Linked DNA regions of Diceros bicornis minor. The protein of the gene in region 1 interacts with the protein of each later gene in a pairwise test. Links are inferred from orthologs where the notes say so. Each region holds a gene or a part of one and is shown in the gene's direction. Other genes may lie near its edges.

What was found.
Region 2: the proteins of SGTB (region 1) and SERPINE1 interact in binary tests that used the Homo sapiens proteins (3 or more experiments, as listed by UniProt). The two-hybrid records come from large-scale screens. The link is inferred for Diceros bicornis minor from reciprocal best matches to the Homo sapiens genes SGTB and SERPINE1.
Region 3: the proteins of SGTB (region 1) and RAI2 interact in binary tests that used the Homo sapiens proteins (3 or more experiments, as listed by UniProt). The link is inferred for Diceros bicornis minor from reciprocal best matches to the Homo sapiens genes SGTB and RAI2.
Region 4: the proteins of SGTB (region 1) and SERPINI2 interact in binary tests that used the Homo sapiens proteins (3 or more experiments, as listed by UniProt). The two-hybrid records come from large-scale screens. The link is inferred for Diceros bicornis minor from reciprocal best matches to the Homo sapiens genes SGTB and SERPINI2.

The regions. Positions count from the first base shown.
Region 1 is NC_080759.1:11,268,983-11,277,003, forward strand, and holds the start of SGTB (small glutamine-rich tetratricopeptide repeat-containing protein beta), read left to right. Parts: upstream 1-4,664; 5' UTR 4,665-4,955; intron 4,956-5,020; exon of another isoform or gene 5,021-5,339; intron 5,340-5,982; 5' UTR 5,983-6,004; coding exon 6,005-6,104; intron 6,105-8,021. Other genes in the region: NLN (neurolysin, mitochondrial), read right to left, coding at 4,083-4,240. UniProt on the Homo sapiens protein: Co-chaperone that binds directly to HSC70 and HSP70 and regulates their ATPase activity.
Region 2 is NC_080765.1:4,808,242-4,815,958, reverse strand, and holds the start of SERPINE1 (plasminogen activator inhibitor 1), read left to right. Parts: upstream 1-4,510; 5' UTR 4,511-4,694; intron 4,695-5,355; 5' UTR 5,356-5,356; coding exon 5,357-5,627; intron 5,628-6,266; coding exon 6,267-6,500; intron 6,501-7,040; coding exon 7,041-7,235; intron 7,236-7,717. UniProt on the Homo sapiens protein: Serine protease inhibitor. Inhibits TMPRSS7. Is a primary inhibitor of tissue-type plasminogen activator (PLAT) and urokinase-type plasminogen activator (PLAU).
Region 3 is NC_080781.1:14,749,531-14,757,921, reverse strand, and holds the start of RAI2 (retinoic acid-induced protein 2), read left to right. Parts: upstream 1-5,074; 5' UTR 5,075-5,183; intron 5,184-8,391.
Region 4 is NC_080754.1:54,092,828-54,100,500, forward strand, and holds the start of SERPINI2 (serpin I2), read left to right. Parts: upstream 1-4,470; 5' UTR 4,471-4,484; intron 4,485-5,924; 5' UTR 5,925-5,934; coding exon 5,935-6,181; intron 6,182-7,673.

The DNA.
Region 1 (8,021 bases):
TAAGTCAGTTAGACAAAAACCTGGTTACTTTAATAACAGTAAAATGAACTCTCAAGTATCAGAGAAAATGGGAAAAATACGTGAAGAGAGCACAGAGTGCCTTCCATGTTGTCTAGTATTGACTTCTTTTGGAGGATACAGATTTTGAAACAAAGATTCTGTGACTAAGTCACTCACAAGTGCCCCAGGTTAATGACTACTACTACTGTATATGTTGATTTACCATAATATATGCCCTTAAGTAACAAAATAGTTGATATATTTATGGTAGACTGCCAGCTTCTAGCAAGGTAATAATTATATGGCTTTACACATTTATTTTCTTCAATGCATAAACAAAGAATCTGAATAACACATATCAGTGATTCTCAAAATGTGGTCTGCAATCCTTGGGGGTGGTAGTATGGGGAGGGGTCCTTGAGACCATTTCAAGAAGTCTGTGAGGTTAAAAGTATTTCATAATAATACTAAGACATTATTTACCCTTTCCCTTGGTTGACATTTGCACTGATGGTGAAAAGCAATGGTAGATAAAATTGTTGGCACCTTAGAACAAACAAAGGTAGTAGCAGCAAATCGTCCTAGCAGTCAGTATATTCTTCATTGCCACACCCTCATGATGAAAATAATGTCAATTCCACTTTAGGATGTCCTTGATGATACAGTAAAAATTATTAATTTTATTAAATCTCAATCACTGAATATATATACGTAGCAAAGTGTCCATAACGCACTTGTGCTGCACTTCTGAGTACAATGGTTGTCCGGAGGATCTGGTTGTCCAAATCAAAAGCACTTGTGCAACTGACTGAACTGTGAGCTGAAATAGCTCCTTTTTTCATGAAACATCATTTGTACTTGAAAAAAACGACTGAAAAACTATGGTTATTCAGACTCAACTATTTGGCAGAAACTCTCTCAAAAATGCTACAAAATGAGCATGTCATTTCAAGAAAAACAACTGGTAGTATCTGTTACCAAAGATAAAATTTCAGCTTTCAAATGACAATTCAAATTTTGAAAAACTGTGGCTTCTATCTTGAGCTTGCCAGCTTCCTAATACTTGAAGACTTTTATGATGAGATGGATGATGATATTAAGGAATATGATTGTTTGATATTGTATAATGAAATGTGTCAAAATTAGGAAGATCTGTATAACACAGTGAACCAGGATTTTCCAAATGACCATTGTTTAATATTACAAGATCACGCATGGGTAAAAGATCCATTCAAAGTGTAAGACAAACCCATGAATTTAAATGTAACAAAGCAAGAAAAGTACATTGATACTTTCACATTCCACACTGCAACTAACCTTTAAAAAAGAAACACATGTCAAACTTTCATGCGCTATCAAAGAATATCCATGATTACCTTAAAAAAAAAAAGCTCTTAAAGGGGCCGGCCCAGTGGTGTAGTGGTTCAGTTAGTGCACTCTGCTTCGGTGGCCCGGGGTTCACGGGTTTGGATCCTGGGCACGGACCTACATACTGCTCATCAAGCCATGCTATGGCGGTGTCTTATATACAAAAGGGAGGCAGTTTGGCACAGATGTTAGCTCAGGGACAATCTTCCTCAAGCAAAAAAAAAAAGAGGAAGAGGGGCCGGCCTGGTGGCGCAAGCGGTTAAGTGCGTGCGCTCCGCTGCGGCGGCCCGGGGTTCGCTGGTTCGGATCCCGGGCGCGCACCGACGCACTGCTTGGCAAGCCATGCTGTGGCGGCGTCCCATATAAAGTGGAGGAAGATGGGCACAGATGTTAGCCCAGGGCCGTCTTCCTCAGCAAAAAAAGAGGAGGATTGGTGGATGTTAGCACAGGGCTGATCTCACACAAAAAAAAAAAAACAAAAAAAAGAGGAAGATTGGCAACAGATGTTAGCTCAGGGCCAATCTTCCTCACACACACACACACACACACACAAGCTGTTGAAATACTCCTCCTTTTCCAACTACATATGAGTGAGAGGTGAGATTTTCTTCATCTTAAATCAAAACAAAACACTGCAACAGATTAAATGCAGAAGCAGACGTAAGAATCCAGCTATCTTATATGAGGTCACACATTTGTTGTGCAAAAGTGCAAAACAATGTCACTCCTAGGAGTTCTTATAAAAAACCAAAAACAGAAAACAAGTGTTGGTAAAGATGTGGAGAAATTGGAATCCTTGTGCACTGCTGATGGGAATGTAAAATGTTACAGCTGCTGTGGAAAACAGTATGGTGGTTCCTCAAAAAATTAAATATTGAATTACCATATGATCCAGCAATTCTACTTCTAGGTATATATCCCCCAAAATTGAAAGCAGATACTCAAACAGATAGGTGCACACTAATGATCATGGTAGCACTATTCAAAAGAGCCAAAAGGTGGAAACAATCCAAATATCCATGGATGAATAAATGGACAAACAAAATGCAGTATATCCATACAATGGAATATTATTCAGCCCTAAAAAGGACGGAAATTCTAACACATGCTACAACATGGATAAATCTTAAAAACACTATGCTAAGTGAAATAAGCCAGTCACAAAAGAACAAATATTGCATGATTCTACTTGTATGAGGTACCTAAAATAGTCAAATTCATAGAGACAGAAGAAATAGTGGTTACCAGGGACTGGGAGAGGGGATAATGAGGAGTTATTATTATTATTACTTTTTTTTGTGAGGAAGATTGGCCCTGAGCTAGCATCTGTGCCAATCTTCCTCTATTTTGTATATGGGACACCGCCACAGCACAGCTTGACGAGTGGTGGGCAGGTCCGTGCCCGGTATCTGAACCTGTGAACCCCAGGCCCCTGAAGCGGAGCTCGCAAACTTATCCACTATGCTACCCAGGCAGCCCGAGGAGTTATTTTTTAATGTGTACAGAGTTTCAGTTTGGGGTGACGAAATTTCAAGTTCTGCAGATGGATAATGTGAATGTACTTAATGCCACTAAACTGTGCACTTAAAAATGATTAAAATGGTAAATTTTATATGTATATTTTACCACAATAAAAAAAAGCTGGAAAAAAATACATTGCCAGTCTTCTCACTAATTTTTTTGGAGGAGTTTGGAAAATAGTTATTTCATTAAAATGTTATTTATGCATGTAATGAGCTTATTACTGTTTTTAAAATAAACTAATACTTAAAAAATTTCCTAGTTTTCATTTCTAATATGGTAAATATGGAGAGAATAACCCCCATAACAGAAGGTCTTAGGTCCTCAGTAATTTTTGAGAGGTAAAGGGATCTTGAGACTAAAAAGTTTGAGAATTGCTGTCATATGAAATTTATTTTCTCTTCTCACATCTGCTTTATGTGAAGATCTTCCTTCATTGGTATAGCTTCATTTGACAGCTACACCACTTGCAGCCTGCAGACTAAAAGGACAGCCTCAAACATGGTCAAAATCATCACATTAACTCCTTATAATTACTATTGTCCCCAGATGCACCATAACCATAACGATTGAGCAACACAAAGCCCCACACAGATGCGCGGCAATGCACAATAGAAAACTGTTAGAAAGCTTAAACGCTGATACATTCCAAAGTGGTTTCATAAGTGTCTAGCAAGAAACACACATTTCCTTTTTTCTTTTGGAGCTTCATTCGGATTTACAATTCAAGGTTAGATTTGGGAATGGGGGTGGTGGCGGTACTGTTTCTGAAAACCACTCCTTCCAGGGCATCCGTGCAAAGAATTTAATTCTCTCCCCATCTTGCTACTGGTCTGTTGCAGAAGGGTGTGGTTAGGGAGCCAGGAAGCAATCCACAACAGCAGCTGAGCCTCCCAAAGCCGTGTCCAAGCAGTAATTTCCTCCATTTTGGGCCAAGTTAATTTGCCCCGGCAAGAGGCCGAATGTTTTATGCGGAGGAGGTAAATAAAAAGGAAGTTAGAAAGCACGGACGGAAATAAGCGGGAAACCCATAGCGGTTTCACCTTGTGTGGATGTTACACGATTTGTACGCTAATGATGTGCGTGAGGGGCAAATGAGAATTGTTACTCCCGAGTCTACAGCTGCGGCACTTTTAACGACAAGTCTGCAGCTCTGGATGGGGGCGAAAGTCGAATGATTTTCTTATCTGGACCATCTTTCTGCATTCCTTTTGGGTCGGGCCTGTGACCCGTCTCGCTGACTGCAGCTGAGGCAGCGCCAAACAAAGGGGAACGGATGCTCTCCCGAGGGAGCGGAGGAGGGAGAGGCGGCCCCAAGTCCCCGCGCCAGGTGTCCCTCAGGGCAGGCCATGCGGGCCGCGGGGAGGGCGGGTCCCAGGAGCGGCGCCGGGGCGCGGTCGGGAAAGCTGGGCCGGGCGACTGGCAGTACCGGGCAGAAGACCCCGCCGTGCCCCCGGCCAAGGTTAACCCGCGCACGGGGGTACCTGTGGAGGCCTCGCACAGCCGAGAGGCACCGGGCGATCATGGGAGCGCAGAGAGGCGGCGGCGGCGGCGGCGGGCGCGTCGCCCTCGCTTCGCGGGTGGGGGGGGCGCGGCGCCCGGGCGCCGCGAGGCGGCCTGGCGGAGGAGGCGACAGCGGCGGCCTGCCCGCGCCCTCCCACGTGCGGCAGCCCCACGCCGGCGCCCCCTTCAGCCCCGCCCCGGCCCGCGCGGCTGGCGCCGCCCCGGGGGCGGTGCCGGCGAGACCCAGGCGCCGCGAGCCAAGCGCACAGCCGGGTGGGCTGAGGGGCGGCGGCGGCGGCCAGGGAGCCGGGCAAGTTTGGGTGACCGTGGCAGTGCTGCGATCGGGAGCCAGGCTCCAGCCCTGAGGACCAGTGGGCGGTTGGACCGGCTTACGGACGCCCGCGGGCCCGCTGCCACCGTCTCGCGTCCTCCTGTCTGGTAAGGGGCTTCTGTCTGGAAAGGGTGCGTCTCCCGCCGCCCCAGACGGGGCCTGCACCGTGCACCCGCAACAATACCCGTCAGGGCCGAGGCGAGGCCCGGGCACCAAAAGGAGGGACAAGGAGGTCGGTGCTCTCTGGGGAGAAGGGGAGGGAGAAGCCTGGAGGAGGTTGGACATCTCCATGTCCTCTCCGCACGCCTTTTCCCCCCATTCTTTTTTCACCTTCTGCCCTGAGGCCTTATTTAGTACTTGCTACCCCATGGCCTAGGGGCTGGGCTCGCCTTTAAAATAAGCAAACAAATAATAAACATCCCAGCGGCGGGTACCACACCCTGGCTTTGATTTAGGGAACCTGAGGAGCAGATGGATGATGCGATGTAGTGGGAATAAGCCATTAATGCCGGCTGGCCCTGCGCCACTGTTTGGATGCGATAGTATTCCATGTGAATGAACAGGACCCGGCGCTTCCAGCTCCTCCACGAGAGCACGGCTACTGCAGAGAGCGCTGGTCGGTTTGTAGTATCCATCGACTTAGGCAGTGATTTCCTGACGTGTCTGTTGATTTAATAGAAATGCCATTTTTATTAAGAATGACACTCAGTGGTTGAACAACCTTTCATTAATATATTTCATCAAATAACTGTCTCAGCCTGCAAAAGTAGGTGGAGTGTAAATTATGCATACATTTTTTTAAAAATCTCATGAAATAGAGGAAGGTATTCAGCGTGGATCCGCTTCTGAGTCAGCAGTATGAAGTCTCCCTTAACTTAGTACTGAGGCCTTTTGGGGATTTCTGCATCTGTACCTCGATCCCTATCCTTATCTGTATTTGTACTATATATACTGTTAAGATAGAGTGAGATAGTCGGAGAGTTTAAGCTTATGTTGTTTTGTACATGTTTTGAGAAAATTTTTACTTTTGCAAGTTGTAACGTAATCTAATACTACTGGGTATAAATGAAAATATGTCATACATTACCATAACAATACTTGGTGCTCTCCGGACTCTTTAAAAAGAGAATGGAGTGAAGGTAATACAGGTTTTTGTTTTTGCTTTTTCCTTTTAATGTAATTTATAACTTGTTATTTATAACCTTCCTGACTGATGCTTTAAAATAACTTAATTCAGTGTTTTCCTTTTTCTTATCAAGGAAAAGTGTTTAAGCTTTTAAAATGTCATCTATCAAGCACCTAGTTTATGCAGTTATTCGTTTCTTACGAGAACAAAGTCAGATGGATGCTTACACTTCGGATGAACAAGAAAGTTTGGAAGGTAGGCACCTGTTCTTTATGTTCATTTGTGTTATAAAGACTAAAATAGCTATAAACCTGACTTTATGGTCTATTATAATAAAATCAGAAGATTTTGTTGATCTTTCAAAAAGAGAGACCTACCTGTAAGATTATCGTGTTTCCATTCTCTGAGGCTTGTTTTGTTTGTTTTAATTAACAAGATAAGAGGGCTATTGTTCATTTATTGAGCAACTATTATGTGTCAGAACTATGCTGTTCATATTGTAGGGAATTTTTTCTTCACAATGACTGTTAAGTTAGAATTATCCCCATTTAATAGATAAGAAAATGAAACTAGATAAAGTAACATAACACAGCTAATATGTGGCGAAGCTGAGATTTAAATCCTGGTTCTTACTCTGAAGGTGTTGTTGTCTCTTATTCCAATAGGAAAGCATCCAGTTTAGAATCAATATATAAAAATACCTTAGTCATTATAAAAGCACTATGTAAAAGTCTAATAATTATATCACTATTAAGCTCTGACAACTTCCTATTGGGGGACTTGAAATGAGAGGATTTCACCCTTGTTTTATGCATGCTTTAAATGTTAGACCCGATAATCTGTAGAGTTGAGCAGGACTTGGACGATCACATCGTGTGTTTCCTTGACACCATCTTTTCTGCCTCATGTTTATGCATTATAAAATTTAAATTCAGTATAACCATAACAAGATAGAATTCTGCAGATGGGCTTGTGGAGGTTCAATGAGCCTAGCTTCCTTGTGGCCTAAAGACTTAATTATTGCAATGGGACAGTGCATTTGGGGGGAATTTAATGAATAACAGTACAGTTCCCATCTTGAAGCTGTTTCTCCTATAAGGGGGACACATCTATTAATTTCAACAAGCACTTCCCTTGTGAATATGCTTTTTAGGGAGTGGGGATGAAAATTGGGCATTTGCTCTAAATCTGCTTGCAGTCTGGTGAGATGATGTCGTTCCAGGTGGCAGGGAGAGGAGCAGGTGACACACAGTTGGAGAACATTGCAATCAGTCCATTTAATATTAAGGTCTTTTGTCCTCCTTGATGGTTAGACTACGTGAAGATAAAGGTGACTGGTTATCTAAGGAAAATGTTGGTTATAGTTGCTCTATAGCAAACAGATAAATGCAATCATTTAATAAAAGATGTTTCTTTTCTAACCAAAGGCAGTCTAATACTTTTCAGGGCTAAAAAGAAAATTGAGAGTTTTTGAAAAACCAAGATGTTATGTCCTATTTTTAGGATTTTTAGAATACCAATTCAGCCAAAAATATGTGCCTTCAGCTGTTTGTTATATATGGCAGTCAGCAATGGTGCCTATTGTTTTTGACCAACCCCTATTTTTGACTCTGTGAGTCTAATTTAATTGACTATGAAATCGTGTGGAGATGTCTGCCCACCTTCTAGACGTTTAAAAAAGCCCTAGGAAAGGAGCCTAAGTTCTAGTCCCAGCTTTACCATCGTGGTGAAGCTGTGTGTATTATCAGCTTTAAGCCTTGTCGTCAGATTATGTCACCCACTCCTCCTAATTGTTGTCATCTACTGACATCTGCTTCGTGTTTTGACTATTGTGGCTCCTGCTCACTCTCGCTTTCTCTAGCAGTTCTCGTTGCCTTAATTCTTGGCAATGTCTAGAGATATTTTTGATTGTCACGACTGGTGGCTGATATTACTGGCATCTAGTGGGTAGAGGCAATGGATGCTGCTAAACATACTTCAGTGCACAGAATGGCCCCCAACAACAGAGAGGTATCTAGTCCAAAATGTCAGTACTGCTGAGGTTGAGAAACTCTTCCTTAGACCTGGTCATTACCCAAACTGCATTCCCTCCATAATCTCTATCTTAAACATTTCACTTCCTGACCACTACTGCCTGTCTTTCCAGCTGACTCCCTCTAGAATCCCTACCCC
Region 2 (7,717 bases), on another chromosome or scaffold:
ATCCACATACGCGGGTAAAGAGAAGTGGACCACATACGCGGGTAAAGAGAAGTGGAAGGAGAAAGAGAAGCCAGACAGCGTGCCCCGGGGGTGCCCTGCAGGCCTGTGCCGCCTCATTCTGGCTGACACCATCAGGCTCTGTGGTCACATCTACCCCAGAAATCGCACACTCCACCCTTCCCTGACCATCAGACTTCCCTTTGTGGCCACACTGGGCCACATTCGCTCCCTCTGCCTCTTTCCTCCAATAGAGGAGGCTCATTCTTGCCTGGGTGCCATGCGGGTCTTCGGTGCTCATTGAACTCTGACATTATGAAAGGCCTCCCGAGGGGATACCATCCCCTTATCTCCCCCTGGGAAATAAGGGTAAATGAGACATGGTGCTGGATGGCCCACTAAGTTTAAGCATAAGTACAGAAATGACTAAGACAAGGGATGTGCATAAAAGTGGTTCAAGTGTGATGAGGTTTTATAGGGGAATCAACAAGAGCTAGGAGAGGTGAGTGGCCGAGAATGGGTCAAGAGGGCTGAGACTGAAGAGCAGGTCAAGTAAAACAAACCCCCTGCTTCCTGGTATGCTGGAGGGATCAAGACACATATCGAATGTCGGTGGGGTCCATTCTGGGACTGTCTGGGTTCCTCTCCTGGCTTTGCCCCAACCAAGAGTGGCTGCCATTTAGTGAGAGCCTAGAATATGCCAGACATTTACAGACAATATTTCATTTAATCCTCACAACAACCCTGAAGGATGGAAACCATCATCTACCTATCTGTAAATTCCTATCTAAAAATAACACTGGGGCTCACGAAGGTTACGTTTTGCCTAAAGACACATAACCATCTACGTGTCAGACCCCTGACCAGGCTGGTCTGTCTGCTCTAATGAGCACTGTTCTCCCATTTATGGTATGTCACCGTGTGTCCTTAGACACATCACGTAGCCTCTCTGGACCTCAGGGCCCTCACCTGCAAATTCAAAGGACTGGATTAAATGGTTCTTAGAGCCTTTCTGCTCTGAAACTCTATGATATAATTGCAGAAAAAAGCCACTGTGGACAAGCGGGCTACGTCGGGGGATGCAGGTTTTAGTGTTATAGGAGTTGAAGGAGAGGTGGCTGGCGAGGGCTGGAGAAGGCAGAAGAGAGGGGTTACGGAGGCAGAGGAGGGGGAAGTCAGGATGGCGCCATGTGAGGAAGGACCCTGCGCAGGCTGTCCCAGAGCCATGATCTTAAACAAGAGGAGGCTACGACTCAGAACACTCTCCCCAGCTCACTCTTAAGAGGGACAGAGCCCGTCCAGCCCAAATACAGGCTATTTTTGGTGTTGTGTTGTTTGGAGAGTAACCAGGCCAGAAATAGTGCTGTGAGTGAGCAGGACCCTGTCCTTCTCCCACCCCCGGCTCTCCCAGTGAAATCACCCAGAATCAAGAGGCCTGCTCCAACATTCCAGGAGCCTGTGTAACTGATAGCAGGCGGCACTCTCTTCCCACAGGAAGCCTTGGAGCAGAGCATTTGACTGTAAAAGGGTTTCTGGAAGAAGAGAGGAGAGGGAAAGAGGGATTGAGTCATAGAGAGCGGAAAAGAGAGAGAATGAGAAAACAGGGAAAGAGCTCACGTGGCCACGACTAGGGAGCGGCAGGGAAGGAGTGTGAGATGACCCGGAGACCGAGGGCTGCACAGAAGAGATCCAGAGGAGGGAGTCGCAGAGAAAGGGAGAGTGAAACAGAGAGCGGTGGCTGTTGCTGGAGAGCAACGGAGAAGCAAGGAGGAAGAGCAGAGGGCAAGAGGGCAGCTGGAGGGCAGGAAGTGAAGGGCTGGAGGCCACGCCGAGACCCAAAAGGAACCAGGGTTACGGGGCTGCAGGCAGGGGTGGGGGACAGTCACGGAAAGCGTGAGTCTGGTCTAGTCACGAACCACCTGCGGAGGGGCAGATGGAAACATCTTTCCCAGTTGGCTCCAACTGGAACTTCCCCCAGAAATCCACAGCCCTGTAACTCATCCTCTTATCTCTGACGCTCCCAGAATCAGAGATCCAGCTATTTCAACACCAGGGACTTTTCTCTTTCTGTCCATTTGACCCCTTACAAAAGAGCCCAGGCTTGAAAGAGGTGATTGGGTCAAGGCTGTTAGTTTGGGGTTCAGGGGAAGGAGGGAAAGTGACAGCCCCTGAGTCAGGCCAGCTTCTGAGAAGGGTGTTACAGGAGGTCTGCTGGAGGGCAGCAGGCCATCGGCCTGCACCCTGGTGTGTGGGAGGTCTCCAGAGGGCAGACAAGGTAGAGGCAAGGCCATTTCACGGAAAGGAGGGGCAGGGGCCGCAGTCAAGTCTGAGTTTTGATCATCTAGTGGCCCCAGCTCATCAGAAAGTCAGAGGGAGAGTCAGAAACCCCAGTGAAGGCCCCAGTTACACTAGGCTGTGCCTCAGTGTCTAATACACACCCACCAGATGCCTACAGGTCCCCTCCAGTTTGGGAAAAGACCCCTTAGTAAGTCAGCCCTTCTGTTTCCAAAGTAAAGCACACCTCCCTCTCCCCAACAGGACACAGAGCCCTCCCGTGCCCGGGAACTGAGCGTCCTTTCTGGAACGGCCTCAGGATCATCCATGAGGTCCAGGAGCGGGGATGGAATTGGTCACCGCCCTGGCAGGGCCCAGGACATCCAGAGAAAACAGCAGAGGCTTTTACAGCTGAGGCCTGGCAAGGAGAGGGACAGCGGCTCCTGGAATAGCCATGGAGGAAGGGAAGGAGGCTCCGCTGAAGTGGCTGGAGAGGTCCGCAGCAGGGCGCCTCGAGGGAGTCGATTCTGGCCGCATCTCCACCCGCTGCTTTTTCAACTCGGGGCTGGGCTCTCCCAACCTGGACTCCCAGGTCCCTATCCCCTTCTGACTCCCAAGGGTGGCGGGCAAGGCACTGGGGGATTTCTGGGCGTAGGAGATGGTTGGGGGCTGCACTCGGTCCTGTCCGCCTGAGACAGGTCAGGGTCAGCGCCTCCTCCCCACAGCTAACATTCTCAGGGACTCCAAACCACAACTAGGAAAGGGAAAAGGACATAAACAAGAAGAGTCACATGGGAACAGTGACTTACCCCCGTAAGGGTCGGTGATCTTAACTTTCCAACCCAGGTCTCCCCCTCTTTCCCTGCCACCCCGCATCCCCACCTGACTCCCAGGGGCAACCGAGAAAACAAAGGCAGAGGCAGAGTAAAATCGGGACAGCCATCCAGCTGTGGTTGCCCTTGGTATCTGTTTACTGAAAATATCCAAAACAAATATCCCGACACTTCCACCCACTTAAACATCCTGTGACTCTGCCCTCGGCTGTCTCCATGGATACTCCCAGCCTAGCCCCCCCCACCGACACAGAGCGTGACAGTGTGTGGACCCCCAGGTCAAGTGCACCATCTCCCCCCCTCCACCACTGCAGGACTCCTCTGGCACCACCCCAGTCACCCCTCGGTCCACAACATCCTGGCCTCATGGCCAAGGGTGCCCGAGCTCACCAAGCCCCGAAATGCACTAGACTGGTCCTACGCACTCACCTCTAGCTGATTTCCACCCTCTATAGAATTCTTGGGTCATTCTTCCCCCCTAACCAATGCCCTAGAAGCATATCCCACAAACCCGCCACGAACTGAGGCCCTCACTTCTATCCCTACTCCCTCTGCTCCAGCCCTCCAAGTACCTGTGTCCGGAGGAAAAGGATAAGGCATAGTTCTCCCCATCACAGCTTGCAGCTCAAAAAAATGCAACTTACACATGGGCCTCCGATTGCTTGCCAAAGCTTTGCCCTGCTAACCCCAGTCCCTTTCAGCCTCCACCACCCCAGGCAGCACACCTCAAACCCCAGCCAGACAGGGCTGTTGACATAAAACAGAGGCCTGGGGGCACCTCAAGAGTCTGGACACGTCGGGGAGTCAGCCCTGCATCACCTGAGGACTGGCAGGCACTCGGCAGGGAAGAGGGAAAGACGGAAGGGAGTCCTCTGCCAGGATCATGTCCTAGACAGTCTAACCCAGACACCCACATGGCACGCTCCCTGTCCTCTGGCTGCTGGGACATGGCCAAGAGGAGGGAGGGGTGTTCTTCCCAGGGTGGCTGTCACACAGGATAGACGGCGCTGGCGGAAAAAAGTCCACAAGATCGTTCGTGTCTTTGATAACTCTGTGGTGATCTGTTTCCTCAAAGGAAAAGGAGAAAATGTGAACCGTTCTTCCCCAAGCTGAGCACTGGGGAAGGTAATTCCAGACATTGGGCATTTTTGGCCGTCTGGTGCTGCCGGGGGTCAAGCTGGCATAACAGAGAGGGACACAGGCAGAGGGCGGTGAAATCAGGGAAGGCCCCTGGGTGAAGACAATGGGGGTTTGCCCAATTGTCCCTGAGCCCTCTCACACGTACACACAGAGCAGCACGCACACACACGCCACAGCAAGTCTGCGGAGGGAGGGAGGTGCTGAGGGGCCCGGCCGGCTGTTCAGACTTCTAGAGCCAGAAAGTGGGTGGGGCTGAACCATGAGTTCATCTATTTCCTGCTCACATCTGGTATAAAAGGAGGCTGCAGCCTCCTGAGGAGCACAGCTGCTCCTGGCTGCAGGCCCCAGAGCACTGTCGGGAGCCACAGCTACTCCTCCAGCAGCCAGATCGCCACAATCGTCCCAGCAGCAGGACAGACCTCCAGTCACAAGGCACCTTGAGAACTTCAGGTAAGAGAAGAGCAAACTCTCTCCACCTCTTGGCTCAGGTTAAGGTGGAGAGCACCTCTCCCCAGCATCTCCTCCACCCTAGATCCCCACTTTTCCTCTGTTTCCCCACCCCTACTGGAGACCTGCAGCCTCGAGTTGTCTCGGCCTTAGGAATGATCAGAGGGGAGCCGGGAAGGAGGTCAGGCCCCACCAACAACCCCGCCACCAGAAACAAGGGCCTCGACCGTCCCGTCCCTCTCCATCAAGATGCTCCCCCCTTTCCCGCCTCAGGAAAGGGGTTTTTCAGGCCTGCTAACTTGAATGAAACAACAGTTGTGAAAGCATTATAAGAGAATTTAAGCATCATGCAAACCAGAGATGTTATTATAATTTAGCCTTTCAGCCTCCTGGAGGGGAAGGGAGATGTACAGGAGGGTGGTGCCAGCAGTTTCCAAGATTCCCACAGGTGACAACGGGCTTAAGATGCCCTGGGGCTGAGACAGAGGGGAAAAGGCTCAGAATCTGAACCCATCGTGGTTTCTTACTGAATCTTGTCCTCGAGTTCATTTATCACCCGCCAGCAGCAGGGGAGCCTGGCCCGTGGCTGGGGTGCCATCTCCCCTCCCCACTCACCAGTCTTCCAGAACTATTCCCTCACGAGTTCCTTTTTCACTTGCTCCAGGATGGGGATGTCTCCAGTCTTTGCCTGCCTAGCCCTGGGCCTAACCCTCATCTTTGGTGAGGGGTCTGCCTCGTACAACCGCCAGTCCCAGGTAGCCCAACTGGCCACAGACTTCGGAGTGAAGGTGTTTCAGCAGGTGGTGCAGGCCTCCAAGGACCGCAATGTGGTCTTCTCGCCCTATGGGGTGGCCTCGGTGCTGGCTATGTTGCAGCTGACAACGGGAGGAGAAACCCGGCAGCAGATCCAAGCAGCAATGCAATTCAAGCTTGAAGGTGAGAGACAGGGCAGAGTGGGAGGCGGTCAGACTTACAGGACAGGGGTGTAACCAACCAGAGGCAGGGGAAAGGCTGACTCCAGCTTAGCCAAGCCAACTCCTGTACCACCATGCCTTAGAGACCGCTACATCTCCTCCCCACCACACCCCATGTCACTGGGCTCCTGACCAGTCACAAGGTATACAGGCCAATGGATGTGGTGTAACACAGCCTTGCCTCACCACTTATTAACTGTGTAACCTTAGCTCCTCTGAACCTCAGTCTCCTCAGCTACAAAGTGGGGACAATCAAAGTACCTACCACAAGGGCTGCTGGAAGGATTAAATAGATTTATGCATGTGAAATCCTTAGCATACCTATTATTACTATAAGAAAAAGTTTAGGATTCATAACTTATAAACAGAGAAAAATATTCTAATCCAAAGAAAGGGTTAGGACCTGAGAGTTTTGAGGAAAAGAGGGAAAAGCAGAAGAGATTAAGGTTTGGAATGAAATCTCCCTCCAGAAACCCCTGAGGGAGCAGAAGAGTCCCATCCATGTGGGAGGGTTGGGCCTCTCATGGGGGAAGTTATCCCGGCTGGGAGCCCTTGGCTCAACACGAGCTTAATGTGTCTTTTCCTCCCCGTTTTGGCACAGAGAAGGGCATGGCCCCTGCCCTCCGCCAACTGTACAAGGAACTCATGGGCCCATGGAACAAGGACGAGATCAGCACCGCCGACGCCATCTTCGTCCAGCGGGATCTGAAGCTGGTCCAGGGCTTCATGCCCCACTTCTTCAGGCTGTTCCAGACCACAGTCAAGCAGGTGGACTTTTCAGAGGTGGAGAGAGCCAGGTTCATCGTCAATGACTGGGTGAAGAAACACACAAAAGGTGAGCAGGCAGGGAAAGCAGGCCCATCCCAAGGGCCTGCCGAGAAAGGGGACGTAAACACAAATTCTATGAATCCCAGGCTCTCCCCTTCAGCATTCTCTTTTCTGCAGACAGAAGGTCAAGTGCTTTAAGAATCCAACTGTCATGTTTTTCATAATCAGGCCTTCTCATGAGCCAACTCTAAAGACACCCCTAAAAAGTGTTGTGAGGTTTTATAACAGTAGTAACTATGACAAGGAGCACACACAATCCTTCAAGACTTACAGTTTAGAGAACAAAGGAACAGAAGATTGAAGTTTCTGGGTCTGATCCTGGACAAGATTCCAGGGCCAAGAAAGTATGCTGAGCTGGAAGGCTTTCTGAGACTCTTAGGAAGATGGAACAGGTTGAAAGCAGATCGATTGGTTCACGCAACCACTAGTCTGTCTTCCAACTGGATCCCTTCAACAGACACACATCCATTTGAGGACTGGGAGCTGAAGGGAACCATCTAGGGGATTAAAAAGTATCTAGCCTCCTGATCACCTGGCTTTCCCATAGGCATGATCAGTGACTTACTTGGCGAAGGGGCCGTGGACCAGCTGACGCGCCTGGTGCTGGTGAATGCCCTCTACTTCAACGGCCAGTGGAAGACGCCCTTCCCAGAGTCGGGCACCCACCACGGCCTTTTCCACAAGTCCGACGGCAGCACCGTCTCTGTGTCCATGATGGCTCAGACCAACAAGTTCAACTACGGTAAGTGCAAGACCCCTTCCCCAAGACTCACAACTACTGCACCTCAACCCCAGGATGTTCCCCTCTCAGGGAGGGAAACCCTAGAACACACCCCAGCTTTGACAGAACTTCCCAAGTAGGAGACTCTGGGACAGCTGGAGCAGCATAAAGTTGCATGCAGCCCATGAAAGATGAAGCTGAAATCCAGAAATTCCCTCAGGCTCACATTTGACCACCTGACCCCTGTCTCTCATCCTCAGGTGTTTCTAGTATGATGACCTGGGGTCCACAAACCCTGCTAGGGGAAGGGCTGTGTGGAAGTTGAGATTAAGGAGATGAGGATTGGAATGAATTAGTGGCTGGGAGTGGGGGAGAGGGGAGAGAAGGTAAAGAAGGACAGAAAGAGACAGAGAAACAAGAAGACATTGTGAATTGGCAGAAGAGAAAAGAAATGGGAATAAAAACATTGAATAGAGGAGTGGTGGATGGGGGAGCCTCAAAAG
Region 3 (8,391 bases), on another chromosome or scaffold:
AGACCGAAGCACAAACGTGAGGGGAGATAATCATGAATGTAACCATTCCGTACTGAAGGCCCAACACAAAGAGAACTGACGTAGATGCTGTGGGATGTGTGAGCCACGGGTCCCCCCTTGATGCTGACAGTCACGTCAGAAAGACAAGGCACAAGGGGGAACGGACTCCTGCTGCTACAAAGGATCTGAGTCCAGGGAGAAGGCAGAGCGGGTTCAAAGCCACTCAGACAGAGCAGTGAGCCAGCAGGAGATAGAAACAGACTCTCCCGACGCTGCGCACAGGAGTCTCAGCCGTTTGTGGGAGCAGGAGCGTGCCTCCACGGCGCTGCTGGAATGCAGAGCGCCCCGTGCACAGCTGGCCTTCCAGATTCAGCGGAACCGCGCGCTTCCAACACAGTCTAGTTTAGGTGATTTCCTTCACTCGTCCTTCAAGTCACATCAAAATATCCGTTCCTCACCTGCTTCTGCCCGCCACCTGTTTTCGTTAGATCTCTGCACTCCAGAACGGCCCTTACCCAATCTGTCAGACGTAGTATTTTATTGTAGTAAAATAAATGTAGTATTTTATTGTAGTAAAATAAAAACAAACCTGTATGTCTTAGGATGCTTTCAACTGCAACCAATGGAGACCTGACTCAAAGAAGCTTAACCTATTAAGCGGTGTAATAATTTCTGTAACAGGAAGTGCAAGTTCAGGTGGCTCCAGCCGGGGTGGGTTGTTCTAGCAGTTCAATAACATCCTCAGAGTTCTAGGTTCTTTCTCTGTATTTGTTGTTCTGCCTTGAGCATCAGCTCCCTCCTAGGCCTGGCTCCTAGCATCACAGTAACCATCCATCCTGGTTTTTGAGGAGGATCCAGTTTATGCCTTTTGCCCTAACATGATTAGTAATAGCACACCTTTTACCTTCAGTAGTGTCCCAGTTTAGATGATCAATTATGTGGTTACCTCCATCGTGTTTTTGCTGCCAGTTGCAAATGAGGTTACATTATCTTTATGTCCACTGGGAGAAGGAGGGATGATCTCCTGGAAGAGTAATAACTCACCCATAAAGCCTCTAGCATACCTCTCCTCTCATCTATTTGGTCCAAATTACAGCAGGAGGGATGCAACTTGCCTCAGATCAAACAGAGCCCATCCTAAAGCCAGGATCAAATTCTAAGGCACATGGTTTCATAGGAGAGGGATGGATGCCTGAACATTAGGGATCTATTAGGAAAGAGGAATGGGGAATGCAGCATGGAGCAGCCACAAACACAGCCCTTTATGATGAGCCTGCTTCTTTCTCTTGACAGTTTCTCAGAATCCTCTGAAATCAAATGCTTTCCTGATTGTGAGACTAGACAGAGCTACACCTGGACTAGGAGAGACTTCAGTGCAGGGCAGGGATGGTACTTTATTACTCTATGTGTTCTAGCATGCAGCTCACTACTGTAAAGTAATAGCTGTTCGGGATATGCTTGTTGATTGCCTAACTGAAGGACAAACTCACGTATCCTTTGATTCAGTCTGCTAAATTGGCAAAGATTTCATATGAACTCTATTGTGCCCTTTGGATAAAATCTGGGCATAATACAGTTCATATGACATCTCCAAATAAAGAATACTGAAACCACTATGCAGACTACATTAGAAGTTTCTGTTCTATTAAAATGGTCAAAACCTTTTCCTTACCCTGTGGGCTCTGAATATTCCTCAGGTAAAAATATCATTCTCACTGGACTATTTCTCTGAATGCTTTCCATCCTCTTTCCCCAAGCCTGGGTTTGATTTCAATCCTCTGTGCTTTAATCACCCCTTGCATTTTTGTTCAGCATTTATCCCTTTGCATCCCTGTCACCCGATTCATAAAGCCAGGCATAAGTCACCCTACTCCTGTTTCCTCCATCACTAAGTCCTGTTGATTCTATGTCCTGAGTACCACTTGACTCAAGTTCCTACCCTTTATCTCTGCTGGCACCACCCTGACTCAAACTCCAATCATAGCAACAGTGTCTCTCACCTGGTCTCCCTGCTGCCAATCTCACCCCCCTCCAATCAGCCCTTCACACCCACCACCAGAGTGATCCATTCCTCAATCCAAATCTTCCCTGGTCACTTCCTTGCTCAAAGTCGTTCAATGGCTCTCCATTGACTCCAAGAAAAAGCTCCTTTACAGGACAGACCAGGGACCTCAACTGACCCCTAGCTTGCTCCCCCCCACCCCACTATTCTTCACAACCTCTACTCCAGCCTCACAAAATATTTGCAGCCTCCAGAACATTCTTTGCATCTCAGCTTTGGTGCCTGCTGTTCCCCTCACTTGTAATGCCTTTCCCTTACTTTGAAAAACTCGTATTCATCTCTCAATGCTTACCTCTTGTCATCATCTCTATGCAATCTTTTCTGACTGCCCTCCTCCATGCCATTTCCTACCCGTTCCCAGTACAGGGCTAGGCCCACTCGTTCAGTGTTCACCCAGCCCAATTTATAACTCCTCATGTACCACATAGTGTCACATTGTATTATTAACAGTTTATTTACCAGCCTGTGAGCTCCTTGGGGTCAGCAACCATGTGTTAACCACCTCTCTAATGACAGTCCTTAGCTCAGTGACTGGCATACAGCAGGTGCTTAATAGATGTTCATTGGACAAATGAACGAATCATCCATCTGGCAAGTATGTGAAAACTAGATTATGAGGAGATGCTGTATTATAGAAGCAGGATATAGATAAAAGAATCAGATCTGAGATGGGAAATTTCCTGAGTCCTTATTTCAAGTCATCAAATATTAGAATTACAGATCTCAAAAATCACCCTGAGCAACCCTGGAAGATTGTTTTGGTTCTTTCCTACTGTTTGCACATGTCCTTTCTTCCTCTCGTTTTCTCAGGCATTCCTTTAACTGGATGAACACAGTTCTTCCATATTAATGTCCTATTTCTGTCCTAAAACATCTCCTCCCCCCCAATCCAGACCCTTTCTTTATGGACTCTTATTTTTCCCTTCTCTCTGCAACAGCAGCCATGATGAAAGTACAGAGGGGTGCCACAGTACATTTCTTTGGGAATGGGGGCCATGATGCCTGTTTATTATGCATTAATCTGAATCAATATAGTCTTTCCTGAAAACATAAGCACCTCAAAGGGCAGAAAATATGAATCACAACTGCCAGCGAGGATCAAACATTAACCCAGGGTTGTGATGAGGCCAACAAAAGAAATAGGCTAGTAATTGCCTTCCAGGATATCAATCCCTACCTTATACACACATACCCCCTCAACACACACAAAACCTTTATGGATCTTTCATCCATGAACTTGCCCAATTATAATTGCCCAGCTGTGTCTTTAGTTGTAGTCAGGCTAGGTCCTGGCAACTGAGACCTCACATACCTGATCCAAGGACTCAGAACAGTTATGGGATCTATAGAGGAAGTCTTGGGTTACTGAAATGGTTGAAGACACATTCGCAGACAAATATTTCCACAGGTAACATTAATTACTCGGAGCTGATTTAAAACCCCAAGAGCCTGATTGAAACAAGTAGGAACTGGAACTTTCTGTTGATATTCATTATTATCAATTTTTAAACTTGCACTGGGTGTCTTTCTGCCTCTGTATCAATTGAGTACTTCTAAATTTAACTCTTATTTTTCAAAAGAGGAAATTCAGTCTCAGGGAATGGTACCACCAGGGCTGACTTCTCCATTATGGCAGTAGGCCCTGTGCCTGGGGCCCATAATACTTGTAGGGGCCCACAGAAATGTTTTAATTTCTTTTAAAATCAGAAGAAAAAGTGATTTTTTAGGTCAAAGAAAATGTTCTAACGTATAATAGTAATATATTGGTCTTTACACCAATGCAATTGTAAAATGTAATTTTTACTATTTTTTTATAGAGGAAGGAGTCCGCAAAAGCAAAGTGCCCACGCAAGTCATAATGTGGCCCTAGTTTCTACCACATTGTGTTTGCAACACAACAAGGTTAGAACAGAACTTTTCAAACACAAGTTCAGGTTCCCATACTAATTATAAACTTGCCAGGCTGCTCTCTATGTATTTCACACTCTGTGGGGCCACCCCAACTTCTACAAGAGGGGAGTCATGGTTACTACTCACAGTGTGGGGACTGGAGGTTTGAAGATGCAAAGGATGGTTCGATTCAGACTGCTCTCTGCTCTGATTAAAGTAATTTCTGCTCTGCGGTTCTCTGTCAGATATCTTCATCCTGTTTTGATTACCAAAAAAAGAAAATCTTTACATCTTTAGGGATTAATTAAACCAATGTAGTTGCTTCCTTTGCTCTCTTAAAACACTTATAGGATTTAGCTTTTTTATTTTACTTTAAAATGATCAATGGTACTACTGATACCTATTATTTATTTACTGGTTTGCAACCGTATATTCATCATCTCTGTAACTCCAATTCTTAGCCCAGTGTCCGGCAAACACGCGGTGCTTAATAAATGTAAGTCACATTAATAAATAAATCACCTCTCGGGCAAGTATGTGGAAATGAGATGATGTCCGTGGACTAATTTTATGTTTAATAATCTCACACCTTGTGAGAAGGATCTTCGACCTGTGTCACAATTGGCATTTTAGGAGGTGATCGGTGGGCCCTTGCCACCTCTCCCGCCTCCATCAGCCAGCCACTTCCTCCCTCCTGGGCTCTGTTCTCTCCCCTCTTCATCCTGGGGTAAGGCATGGTCCCCAGTCCGTCAGGAGGCAGCAGGGTCCCCGTTCCGCTGGCCCTCCCCAGAGCCCCCCCCCCCCCGCCTCCCGCGTCCCGGGCGCCCCTTCTTCCTGCCACCCCGCGCCGCCCACAGCCACGCCCTCCCCGTGGGCGAGATCACCTGTCCCTCCTCAGCCACCGCCTCCTCGGGTACCCTTTCGCCCCCCTCCTGCTCCCCCTCCTCCGCCACCTCCCCCAAGCCCTCCCCTTCCCCGCCTCCTCCCACCCCTTGGTGTATATAGTAAAGGCCGGGCGCCGCACGCAGACACACACTCGTCCGGACACAGGCGCACACACGCTCACGCACAACCGGCAGCGGCGGCGGCGACAGCGGCTCAGTGACAGCGGCGACGGCGGCTCCCACCGCTGCGCACCCCCTTCAGGCGGCCGGCGGCGAGGCCAGACCGGAGAGTTCCCGCACCCGCGACCACCCCGCGGCTTCCTGGAGGCGGCGACCGCGATTGCGAGGTAGCGGCCGCGGCGCCCCCGTGCGGGCCGGGGTCCCCCCCCGCCCTCCCCGCGCGGACCTGCCACCGGGACGCAGGGGGCGCGCCGGGCTGGGCGCGCCTGGCGGGGCCCGGCGCCCGGGGAGGGGCCTGCTCCCGGGGGCAGGACGGCGCCCGGAGGCCGGGGCCAGCGGGGAGGGCCGGGCGGGGGCGGGGACGCGGGCCGAGGCCGCCACCCGTGCGGCGTCCCCGGGCCCCACTCCTGCTCCCGGCGCCGCGCACTGGCCGGCAGGGCCGGGGACGGCCGGGGAGGCGGCGCCGGCCAGCGGGGCGGGGGCCCCGAAGTGGGTTTCGGGCCGCAACCGGCGCTGGCACCAGGCGCAGAGGGCGGCGCGCGGCGGACTCCGCGCCCGGGCACCGCACCGAGCCGCCTCCGGCTCTGCCGCTCTGCCCCGGCCCGGAAAACCCGGCGCCTTCCAGGCCCTTCGAAAGATGGATTCTGTTGACGTATCTGGCAGCCCTGGCGAGCCGGGTGGAAAGTTGGGTTTTGCCAGATCGCACTGGGCTCGTCTTTGTGACGCTCGGCCAGCCCCGCATCATCCCGGAGCCGGGTGAGTGTGCGTCGGCGCCCCGGGAGCCCGCGTGCCCCCCAATGCCCAGCCCCGGGGTGGCCGCACCAGCTCGGGCTTTCTGCCATGTTAGGCACCGAGCAGCGTTCTCGCTGCATTTTTGCGTGCGTTTCAGCCGTGCCTTTTGCTGCGGAGAGAGTTCTTGCTTGTCTCCGCGTTGGCTTTTTCGGGGTTGGGGTTGTGCTCTGTGTGTTTGCTTGTTTGCTGTTTAAAGCCCGACTATTGTTCAGGATAAGCTCCGCCTGGGTGGGGAAATGGCATCCCACCACAGTTGCCGGCGAGGGGTAGAAATGTTGCCAAACAGCTGCTGCTTTGTGCTTCCCTATCAGAAGTCCCTGGAGGAGGTTTGGGGCACGACGGAGAGAGGGATAGGGCACGGAGGAAGAAGGTGGCTTTGGAGGAGCGAATTGTCATCCACCCCATGGCACGCAATCAGCCTCCCTTTCTGCCTGCCAAACTTTTATGAATATTCCTTTTGTGGCAGGGGAAAGCTTAATGAATTCAGCCCAGTTTTCCAGGGAAAAGCAACCCGGCTTTAACAATGGTTTGAGAACTTAATCAATGAGAAAGGCAGGGGGAGGAGGAGGAGGCGCTGACACCATATCGGGGATGTGGCTGCTTCTTGCAGAGTCAGGTAGGAGAGAGGTGGGCAGAGCAGGTCACAGCGCCCGGGTGGCCGCGTTCCCAGAACTGTCGGTGGCTCTTACCTGTGCCCGCTGGAGCCACCCTCCGTCGTACCCTCACCTCACCGTCTGCCCACAACTCGGTGATGGGGCTTGAGGGACGGCTTGTGGCAGTGCGCCGGCCGGCCCCCCTCATCTGGCGTTTTTAAGGATGTGTAAATATTTTGCTGAGGATAAGTGACATCAACAGAATGATATTCCGCAGAGCCCGAGTGTGCAGCGATGATAAATAGATACGACCAAACAAAGTTTTGATAACCGCGGATTCTCATGGCTCGCTCTGTTTCATTTGGGTCTTTGTTTTTGTTGGTTTAGCATTATCTCTCATCCTCTGGTGTGATCCCTTTATTTAGCTGATTCTTGGAAGCTTCTCTTTAGAACAGAGAGAAAAGCAGCCAGCAGGGAGAAAACAATTCTTAGCCTTACATGCAGCAGGCAAGGTTTTCTGTCCTTTTCCCAGGGAATCTTTCCCACTGTTTTCGAGATGTCTCTTTTCCTCCTTTTGAGTCGTTTGTTGATTGACCAAGAGACTTTTGATAACTTTGAAAATGTGCTGTGATGTGCCTTTGTTACAGTAGAGGGGTGGCTGAGTGGGAGGAGGACAGTGGGGAGGCTAGTGGGTGGGAGACACTCACCAGAGCAGCATTACGCCCCCACCCACTGTTTTGTCCTTGGTGTTTTCTTCTCAAAGGGGAACATGGGGAGCTGTGCCACTTTCAGAAGCTGGGGGTGGCCGGAAGGCACAGAATCATAAGCCCAGTGGCATCCCAATCTCTCTGCCCCTTAGAAGCCCAGAGAAGCCACCCACTCACCCCCAAACCCACCCCCACCCCTACACACAATATCCTGCGAATGGGCACTTGCACCTCATCCTGAAAGATGCCCACTAGAGGCATCCGCAAGGCAGCCCGGCACCGTGAGCCGAGTCAGACTGGAACTTGGGGTACTGGCTGCTTTGGCACCAGCCTCTGGGACCATTCAGCCACCCAGGGGGTCCTTTATTATGCAAAAAAGCCCCAGACCTCCAGCAGTGAGGTTTGGCCCTGGAAAACCTGCCCATCTCGGGAACGAATGAGAAAACAGCTTTTCAGGTGATGCCAGTTGCCAATGTGAGAACTTGGTTGGTGGGCAGTTGGGCAAGAACTGTGAAATAAATAAAAAGTCTTGTGGCCAGAAAACAGAGCCACTGAGACAGGGCCTCTGAAAGGCAAGAAAGAAAAGGCTGGGAGATGTGTGACGAGGTGTTGCTATGAGGGCTGTAGCACCAGGACACACATATAGCTCGAGCTATAATGACGCGAAAACTAGATAGGACCAGCCTCCCCAAATCCGTTTGACCTGGAATGGGGGTATTCTGTATGTGGAGATATCCATGTACAGTGTGCTCTGAATCTACAGTAGGAAAATAGCAAGTGTCTGTTCTCTGGCTCCTTCCCTAACCTTAGGTTTAGGGGAGGAGGGTAGTGGAGGGAAATAAACTGGGAAGGGGATTAACATTTGTTGTTGCCCTCTGTCTGCCAGACACTTCACATGTGGGAAACCATGATGCGATGTAGGCATTATTTTACAGATAAGGAATCTGAGGCTCAGAGAAATTTCCAGTCGCACGTCTGATTCCAGACTTTGGTGGTTATGATTTAAAGGGGCAACATGTTCCTCTCCCCCTCTCCCAAGTCTCTTGTTTGTTTCTCCCAAAGGCCGTCATCCTCAGCCCCTACCCATTCAGAAAATATGGTACCTAACTGGGGAGGAAAAGCCCACCAGTGAGGCAGCCCAGCTACCCAGGGTACATGCTTATGTGCCGAGCAGATAGTCCTAAATAGTCCCTAACTATTTCAGGTGGAAAGACTGTGCGTTTTCATCTTGGAATCCCCAATATCCAACCGTTGCTTAATAAATGAGAGTTGAATGACTAAAT
Region 4 (7,673 bases), on another chromosome or scaffold:
TCCCTTTCCTTCCCATCTTCACCTCCCATCCTGGTGCAGAGATGTTGGCAGCAGTCCTGCTGCATGGCTATGAGAGGAAGAAGGGAGAGCTGAGAGAAGACCCACCAGAGATATGCTTACTGGACCTAAGAGTATGGGAGGGATTAGTGGGAGGGGGAATTAGAGGATGGGAAGGCAGAGGGGGTGAGTGGGGGAGATGACCAGCATGGATGGGAGTTTGGTTATGTTGAGCAAATAAGTATTGAATAAACAAATGAATAAATCAGTAAATATATTGAAGACAATGAGAACCAGGTATCTCACTGTTGTAGAGGTACTTATAAAATTTGCAAAAGGGAAAACTAGAGAGAACCCTGAGATTTTGGATTGGGATTAGAGATATCAGTGTGAACTCATGGTTTCAGATAGGTAGATAGATTGGAACGTTTAGGAGTGACAGAAAATTATGTTTACAGTTTTCTCTTGAATAATTCAGAAAATACTAATTATAATGTATGTATATATATGTATACACACACAAGTATACCACATATATGTATCTACACACACGTATATAATATATATGTGTGTATACATATATATAGATAGATAGAAAGGAGAAAGAGAGATTAGATAAACAGAAAGAGCACACGTGCGCTGAAATGTTAACAACTGGGGAAGCTGAGAAAGAAGGAGAGAGGGAAATGGTAGTTCTTTGTATTACATCAACAACTTTTCTGTAAATTTAAAAATATTTCAAAGTAAATTATTTTTAAAAATTGAAAAAGATGACCTCGGGACAAAGGATTCCTTGAGATGTTCAAGCAGAAGCTGAGTGGCTCTCTCACAGGGATATTGCAGAGAATTCTTGCACTGGTTGGGAGGTTTGATTGGACAATCCATCATTTCGAACTTAGAGAATATGATTTATGAATCATAGATTGGTGACAGTACAATGGAGTGAAATTTGAGCCACATTTCCAGAAATTTAAAGGAATATTAAGATGTTAAAGAGATGTTATATGAGTACTGAATATTTTGTGAAGTCTCTTTTCCCCATCCATCCGTCCATCCATCCATCCAATTATTGAAGGCATATGCAAGGGACTGTTTTAGACACTAGGTGTACACATATAAATAAAATACACCTCCTCTGCCATCAGCTTACTGGAGTGAAAGCACATAAAATGCAGTGATTTATTAAGCAAACGTTGAATGATCTCACTAGTTTTGCTGGTATAATTTGGAAATTCTTTTACTAGACATATTTTACTTTTTTTTTACCCCTAGAGATGACTTCGTTTGAAGTGATTAGTCTGAAATAGTCTGGCTCATATAGACAGACCTTCTCTCTATAGCATGTGACATGTGCGAGGCAGTATGCTGTGTGTGACCCTAATCCCATCCCTAATTAACTTCAGGGTCTCTTCTGTGAAAGGAATTAAGAGGAGCTGTCTCACAAGTATATTTAATGAGAATAGAGCTTTTAAAGGTATGAAAGTCTCTTTTTAGGTTACTGTTCCAAATAATTTGGAACAAAAACACACGCAAAGGAAAAAAAATGAAAAGATATTTAGCTATTGTGTCTTGCTCTTCTTTTACATCTTACAGCATCCAATTGTGCTAGGCAGGTAGCAGGGTCTCACCTGTCAAATGTTGATAGGACTGAAGACTTTATAAGCTATTTCTGAAATTAACATTTAGGTTCAATTATTTAAGATACATTTTTCTACAGTGAAAGGAACTTGTCATATTAAAATAGGATGTGCCGTAATTTTCTATAAGCTACTTTGTTTGCAGTATGTAGATTTACACTAAATATAATTTAACCTGTTCTCTTTTCAGAACATTTTCCTCTTATCACTCAAAATATATGGAGCAAACTGACAGAGGAAAAAATGCCTGAAGTTAATCCGTGGTCAAATGAAAGAATTAACTTTTAAGTCCTTATTAATGAGAACATTTACTTGTATGTTTGTAAAGTTTGGAATTGAATACATTTTTACCTTTATAAAAACACTGTAAAATGCTAAGAAACATAATAAAATTGAACTTGTAACCCCTTGCTATTATTTTTGTGCATATTCCCAGGTTTATTTTTTTACAGTGAGGGTAGTGATGGTGCTCAAATTTATACAGAGACACTTTGGCTCTCACTAATGAATAATTATTTTCCTGATGCTCTAGGGGCAAAGTAGAGGGTTAGAAGGAACAGATTTGTGAAAATATTTAAGAGGTTTGCGGTAATATTTTATGGACAATTGTGGTATCTTTATTGTCTATTAAAAGAGCCTAAATCAGGGAGGAGAAATTCATGGCCATTGCTTTTTCCTCCCCAAGAGACAGGAAAATGTACATTCTGCTTGACCTGCTCTGACATAAGGTCCTCACAGAACAACTTCATTAAAGGATCTTACTAAGACAGAGTGTTCATCTCTGTCATTGGAAGGAAGAGTAATGGCCTGTTCCTGGGTAATCACATTATGATCTGAGTCATGTACAGACATAATAATTTGGTAGCCAAGGGGACTTGTGATGGATGTTTGCTGGTGTCACTACATGGGTAGGAAAACATTGATTGAATGATAGTCTCGGACATTCGGATTTATTATTTATGAATTGCAGGGTACAACAAGAATGCTAGTGTTCTTGTGTTGCATAACTTTGTTTTTGGAAAATTATCTCTCACAGTGTTAAGTTAAAAGCTGGAAGAGGGTTTGCTTATGTTAGAATAAGTAATATTAGACTATAACCCTGGTTGTAGAAAACATTTAGAGATGCCTAGATGGGCAATTAAGAATTTTGGCAAATTAGATTGTGGCTTATAACAGTCATTAGGCTTCTCAGGTCTGTCATTAAGCTATAGTCCCATTAGGACACTGAAAGAGGTTAACAGGATCCTTGAAAAAGTTGTTTTAAATGAATTCCTTTTAAAGGTATCTACATTCGTCTTATTTCTTTTTCATGAATTTATCAGAAATAATATTACATTTAGTGATCAATGGTAGAATTTGTTTAATTGCAACTGGACCAAATTTTCCATTTATCCTCTCAGAGGCCACTGATGAATAATACCATGTGTTTAATATCTGATTGCCTTTGAGGCGATTGATTTGAACTAGAAGAATGAGATCAAAACCCATTCAGTTGTGCATCCATGTTTTATTAATGATCTGTTTGTAGAGAAAAATCATGTAGAAATTTAAAAGCACAAAAAAGTAACACCAATGTTTATTATCAAATTACCTATGTTTAATAGTATTACCTTGATATAATGTGGTAAATCAATAATCTTAATTTGGTCTTCTTGTTCAATGTAGAGAATATATTTCTTCTACATCTACTCTTTCTCCTAAGGATTCAAATGGGCCTTGTATCCACAGGAAATTCCTCTGACCGTTGTATAATTTGATGAATTGTTGAGAACTCTGTAAATGCAGCGGTAATTTGTCTCTGCATTCTTGACTTGATTTAGCTTTATTCTTTTTCTCACAGGGCATTCTGAAATACTTATGATAGAGGACATTGGTAATCTGATGTGGGAGTCCTGTGAGGAAAAAAAAGAAATAATTATTAGCAAATTTACAAGCACTGACACAGTCTTCCAAATTCTGTTTCTACTAGTTATAAAAGAAGTGGAATAATGGATGAAATAATAGTATAAACTTAATGATTTTTAAAAATTCTGTTATTGTCTTCTCTCAATTCTTGCATATTTCATCATTGATCATTCGCCTGATCGTGGTAGTCTTTTTATACAAATACAGTGAACACCTGCTTTGATTTTAGAGGAATTAATCAAACAATGTTCAAGGTAAGTAGAGTTGGCCTTGACTGACCAGGTGTCTCATGTACTAGTGTTTCCCAGCAGGCACATTTTCGCTATAACATTACAGTGAATAGTCAGAAGTCAATTTTGGGTAAGTACCTTAAAACCGAATAGCTTTTGAATGAAGTATGTATGCAATAACATTGACCGTGAGTGTGTAATGGAGTAGAGGAATGGCATTTCAATTCACTTTGGTACAGATACTATCTAAATTTATCAAATTAACACATTAGTTTTATTCTCCTTAAAAGATGTCACTATAAATTTGAAGCTCGAATTCTTATAGGACTATTCATCAGGTTGTTTAAGTCACCAGTATTTTGTGCTTTCTGATGAGATACGATCCAAAACCCAATGAGGTAAGTGAATTTTTAGAACCAATTTTTTGTGCGAGCTTGTAATTTATTTAAGTGCCTAGAAATTTTCCGGGAGAAATGGATGCTCAAAAAATGTAAATTTTAATTGTTAAGATTGTTAACAATAATGAGAGGATAACTCCCAGATTCTACTATAAGGGAAAAAGTTATATCTTTCATAATATTGTGTATTATTGTAGTATAAACTAAGTACATACAGATAGGCCTAATGAATTGCCACTTGATGACGTAAAAGTACTAATAACATTTTGACTACTTGTATATCTACAAACTGATATTTTGGTCAGAAATCTTCTGAGATATCGAATATATTAGAAAATTATACACAGAAATTTATTTTGCATGTAAAACTTCTCTTACTCACTAGCTTTTACTGTTGTTGCACTGCCACTCACAACCTTATGTACTCATTTAATCCTTGATAAAACATTTGCTTGATAGCATACCTCTATATTTGCAGTTTACCAAAACATTGCTTTCTAAAATTGTTTTGGATTGCATTTTGAGGTCTTTTTCCTTTCCAAATTGTATATCTAAACAAAGAAAGTTTAACTACATATGTTAGAAAATAATTTGAAACATCTAGATAATGACTCCACAGATTAGTTTTGGAGAATATTTGACTGTTAGTAATCTTTATATATAAAAGTGATTCTCAGTGACTCTTAACCCTCTGAAGAAATAGACTTCATTTCTTTAAGGCTAACAATACATTATTCTGGAGGCTTTCTTCTTTACCCCCAATGAAGGGTTACTTCCTAGTAACTTATTAAACTAGGAGTTATTAAGGGTCACTAAAATGTATTATTTGTAAGGTAAAATCAGTGTTACTAAAATTTGTGAGGCCTTCAGAGTCAGTATTCCATCAAGTCTGTGGTAATATTGCAGAATGGTAAACTCATCCTGTTCAAGATGTAATCAGATGGTTGAATTTCCTGCAATTTTAGTGGAGAGCACTTTAATAGGGTGTCATTAGTATTGCTGTGAATTGGTTATAGTTTTCAATTGCCGCTTTCTTATATTTGTTAATTTGTTTGTCAAATTATTGTTCAATTTTTTTAAAAATTGCTTTCTTTTGTTATTATTGTACCATTTATATTTGATTGCCGTTTTGTTTCTTTATAATTTTTCTGAAGTTTTTTTTTCCCTCCCTTTGGAAAAGTACAAGGCGGGTTTTGGGGTATTTCACCCTACAGAAGTGGGATTTCATAAAGTGTGAGAATCCGTGCTGTAAAAAGTTAGCCAGATTACTCAATTGATTTAGAATATATTAACTGACTAATATTATAGGTCCAAGACCACACTGTAGTGTGTTCAGTTTTATTCCATTTTTCCTTTTGATCTATATTTTAGAATAGTCTGGACAGAGGATTCCCTTGATATCAAAGTTACAAGTATCCCATTTAAAACCATGGGAAAAGATAGGAAAAAGTGTCATATAGCTATTTAGAGATAGTATTGCTATCTATAATGTTCCAGAATTATAATTTATCCTTGATTTTAAGAAACCGCAATATATTTTGGACTAGTTCTTGAAGTCATATAAACAATACCATTAGCACATGGCCTATTTCTCCCAGTAGATGATGCTTATTCTGAAAATTGGCATTAGAATCTTCTTGTGGTAGTTTGTCCTAACAAGACAGAAAGTTCTAGCAGGTAAAAAGTTTTCTGTTGAGCTTAATATGGTAAACTCTGATTATTTTGAAAACTAATAAATTTTGAATCAAACAATGCACAGATGTCAAAATGGATAAGATCTTATTGTGGAGTTTCCTATTGACTTTTTCTGGAAGTCAAGCCTCAAGACCCTGGGCTCAAAGAAATGCTGAATTTGCAGTGGATCTTTATCAAGCTATTTGTTTATCTCATAAGGACAACGTTATATTTTCCCCCCTTGGAACAACTTTGGTTCTTGAAATGATACAACTGGGAGCAAAAGGAAAAGCACAACAACAGATAAGACAAACTTTAAAATTTCAGGAAACCTCAACTGGTGAGATTCTTACATATGACTTTCTATACTGGATAAGATCTGGTCAAATTTATTTTTTAAATATTAGAGAGAAGCTTACGGTCATAGAACTTTAATAAATGAAAAATACTGTGGAAAGTATACAATTATAATAAAATGGAGAATTGTAAATGTAAATAATATTCATTCATTTATAATTGTTTCCTAATGAAAATGTTACCAAAATAATTTAAGAAATTAATTCCATGCAGATATAAAATTGTATGTCTGTGTATTTTCTTCTGGCCTGTTTTAGCGAGTTTTAATTAACTGTGATTATGTTGTGCATGCATGTGTGTGTGTATGCATATACATATTCACATATGTATACATATACACACATAAATGTGCTTCCACCATCACTTACTATGTTGTGATCATTGTCTCATATCATGCAACTGCTTCAAAATATAATCTTTATTTTTTGTGAGGAAGATCAGCCCTGAGCTAACATCCAACGCCAATCCTCCTCTTTTTTTGCTGAGGAAGATTGGCCCTGGGTTAATATCTGTGCCCATCTTCCTCTACTTTATATGGGATGCCGCCACAGCATGGCTTGACAAGTGGTGCGTCTGTGCGCACCCGGGATCCAAACCTGTGAAACCGGGGCCGCCGCAGTGGAGCACGCTCACTTAACAGCTGTGCCACCAGGCCAGCCCCCAAAATATAATTTTTAATTGCTGCATTTTATTGCCTCTTATAGAAATGCCATTATTTACTTAACCCTTCTTCATGAGGTTGTTTTCAACATTTCTCTTATAAAAATACTTCAGTAAGCACCCTCACCGAGAAATCTTTGTGTGCATCTCTCATATTTTGTTAGTCTTTTAAAATTAGTTTTCTAATTAAAATTTAAATTTTTCACTTAAATGAGATCAAGGAAAAGCATTAATTTATACATTTTAAAAGCTTACTTGGTTAATAGTTTTTAAAGATTTGGGGGAAAAAAAAGCAATTACATAACGCATCAGAGGCCTTTTTGCGTGTGGCTGGTTGTTTTGGAGTCTCCCAAAGGCCTGAGATACTATGTAGAAGCTTCAGTGCTGGTGTCCCATTCGAAGGGGTGTTTGCCCATCTACCTAGCTATACTGGTTCTCAATTTCCATAATGACTTTAATATTAAACTTTTATGTTACTGTCAGATAATGGGTACGAAACATCAGAGGAGACATGCAGATTTTTGATTTAGCGATTTAGTTCGCTATAACTATATAATATCTATCTAATTTATCTATCTATATATCTAATAGATATATTAGATATAATATATATATCTAATAGATATATTAGATATAATATATATATCTAATAGATATATTAGATATAATATATCTAATAGATATATTAGATATAATATATCTATTAGATATATATATATATAACTATCTAATTTCAATATGTTTGCCTTAGCACAGAGTAGTTACATTTAGGAAAATCTTTCTCTGAAAAAACTATTCACAAAGTTTTATTTGCT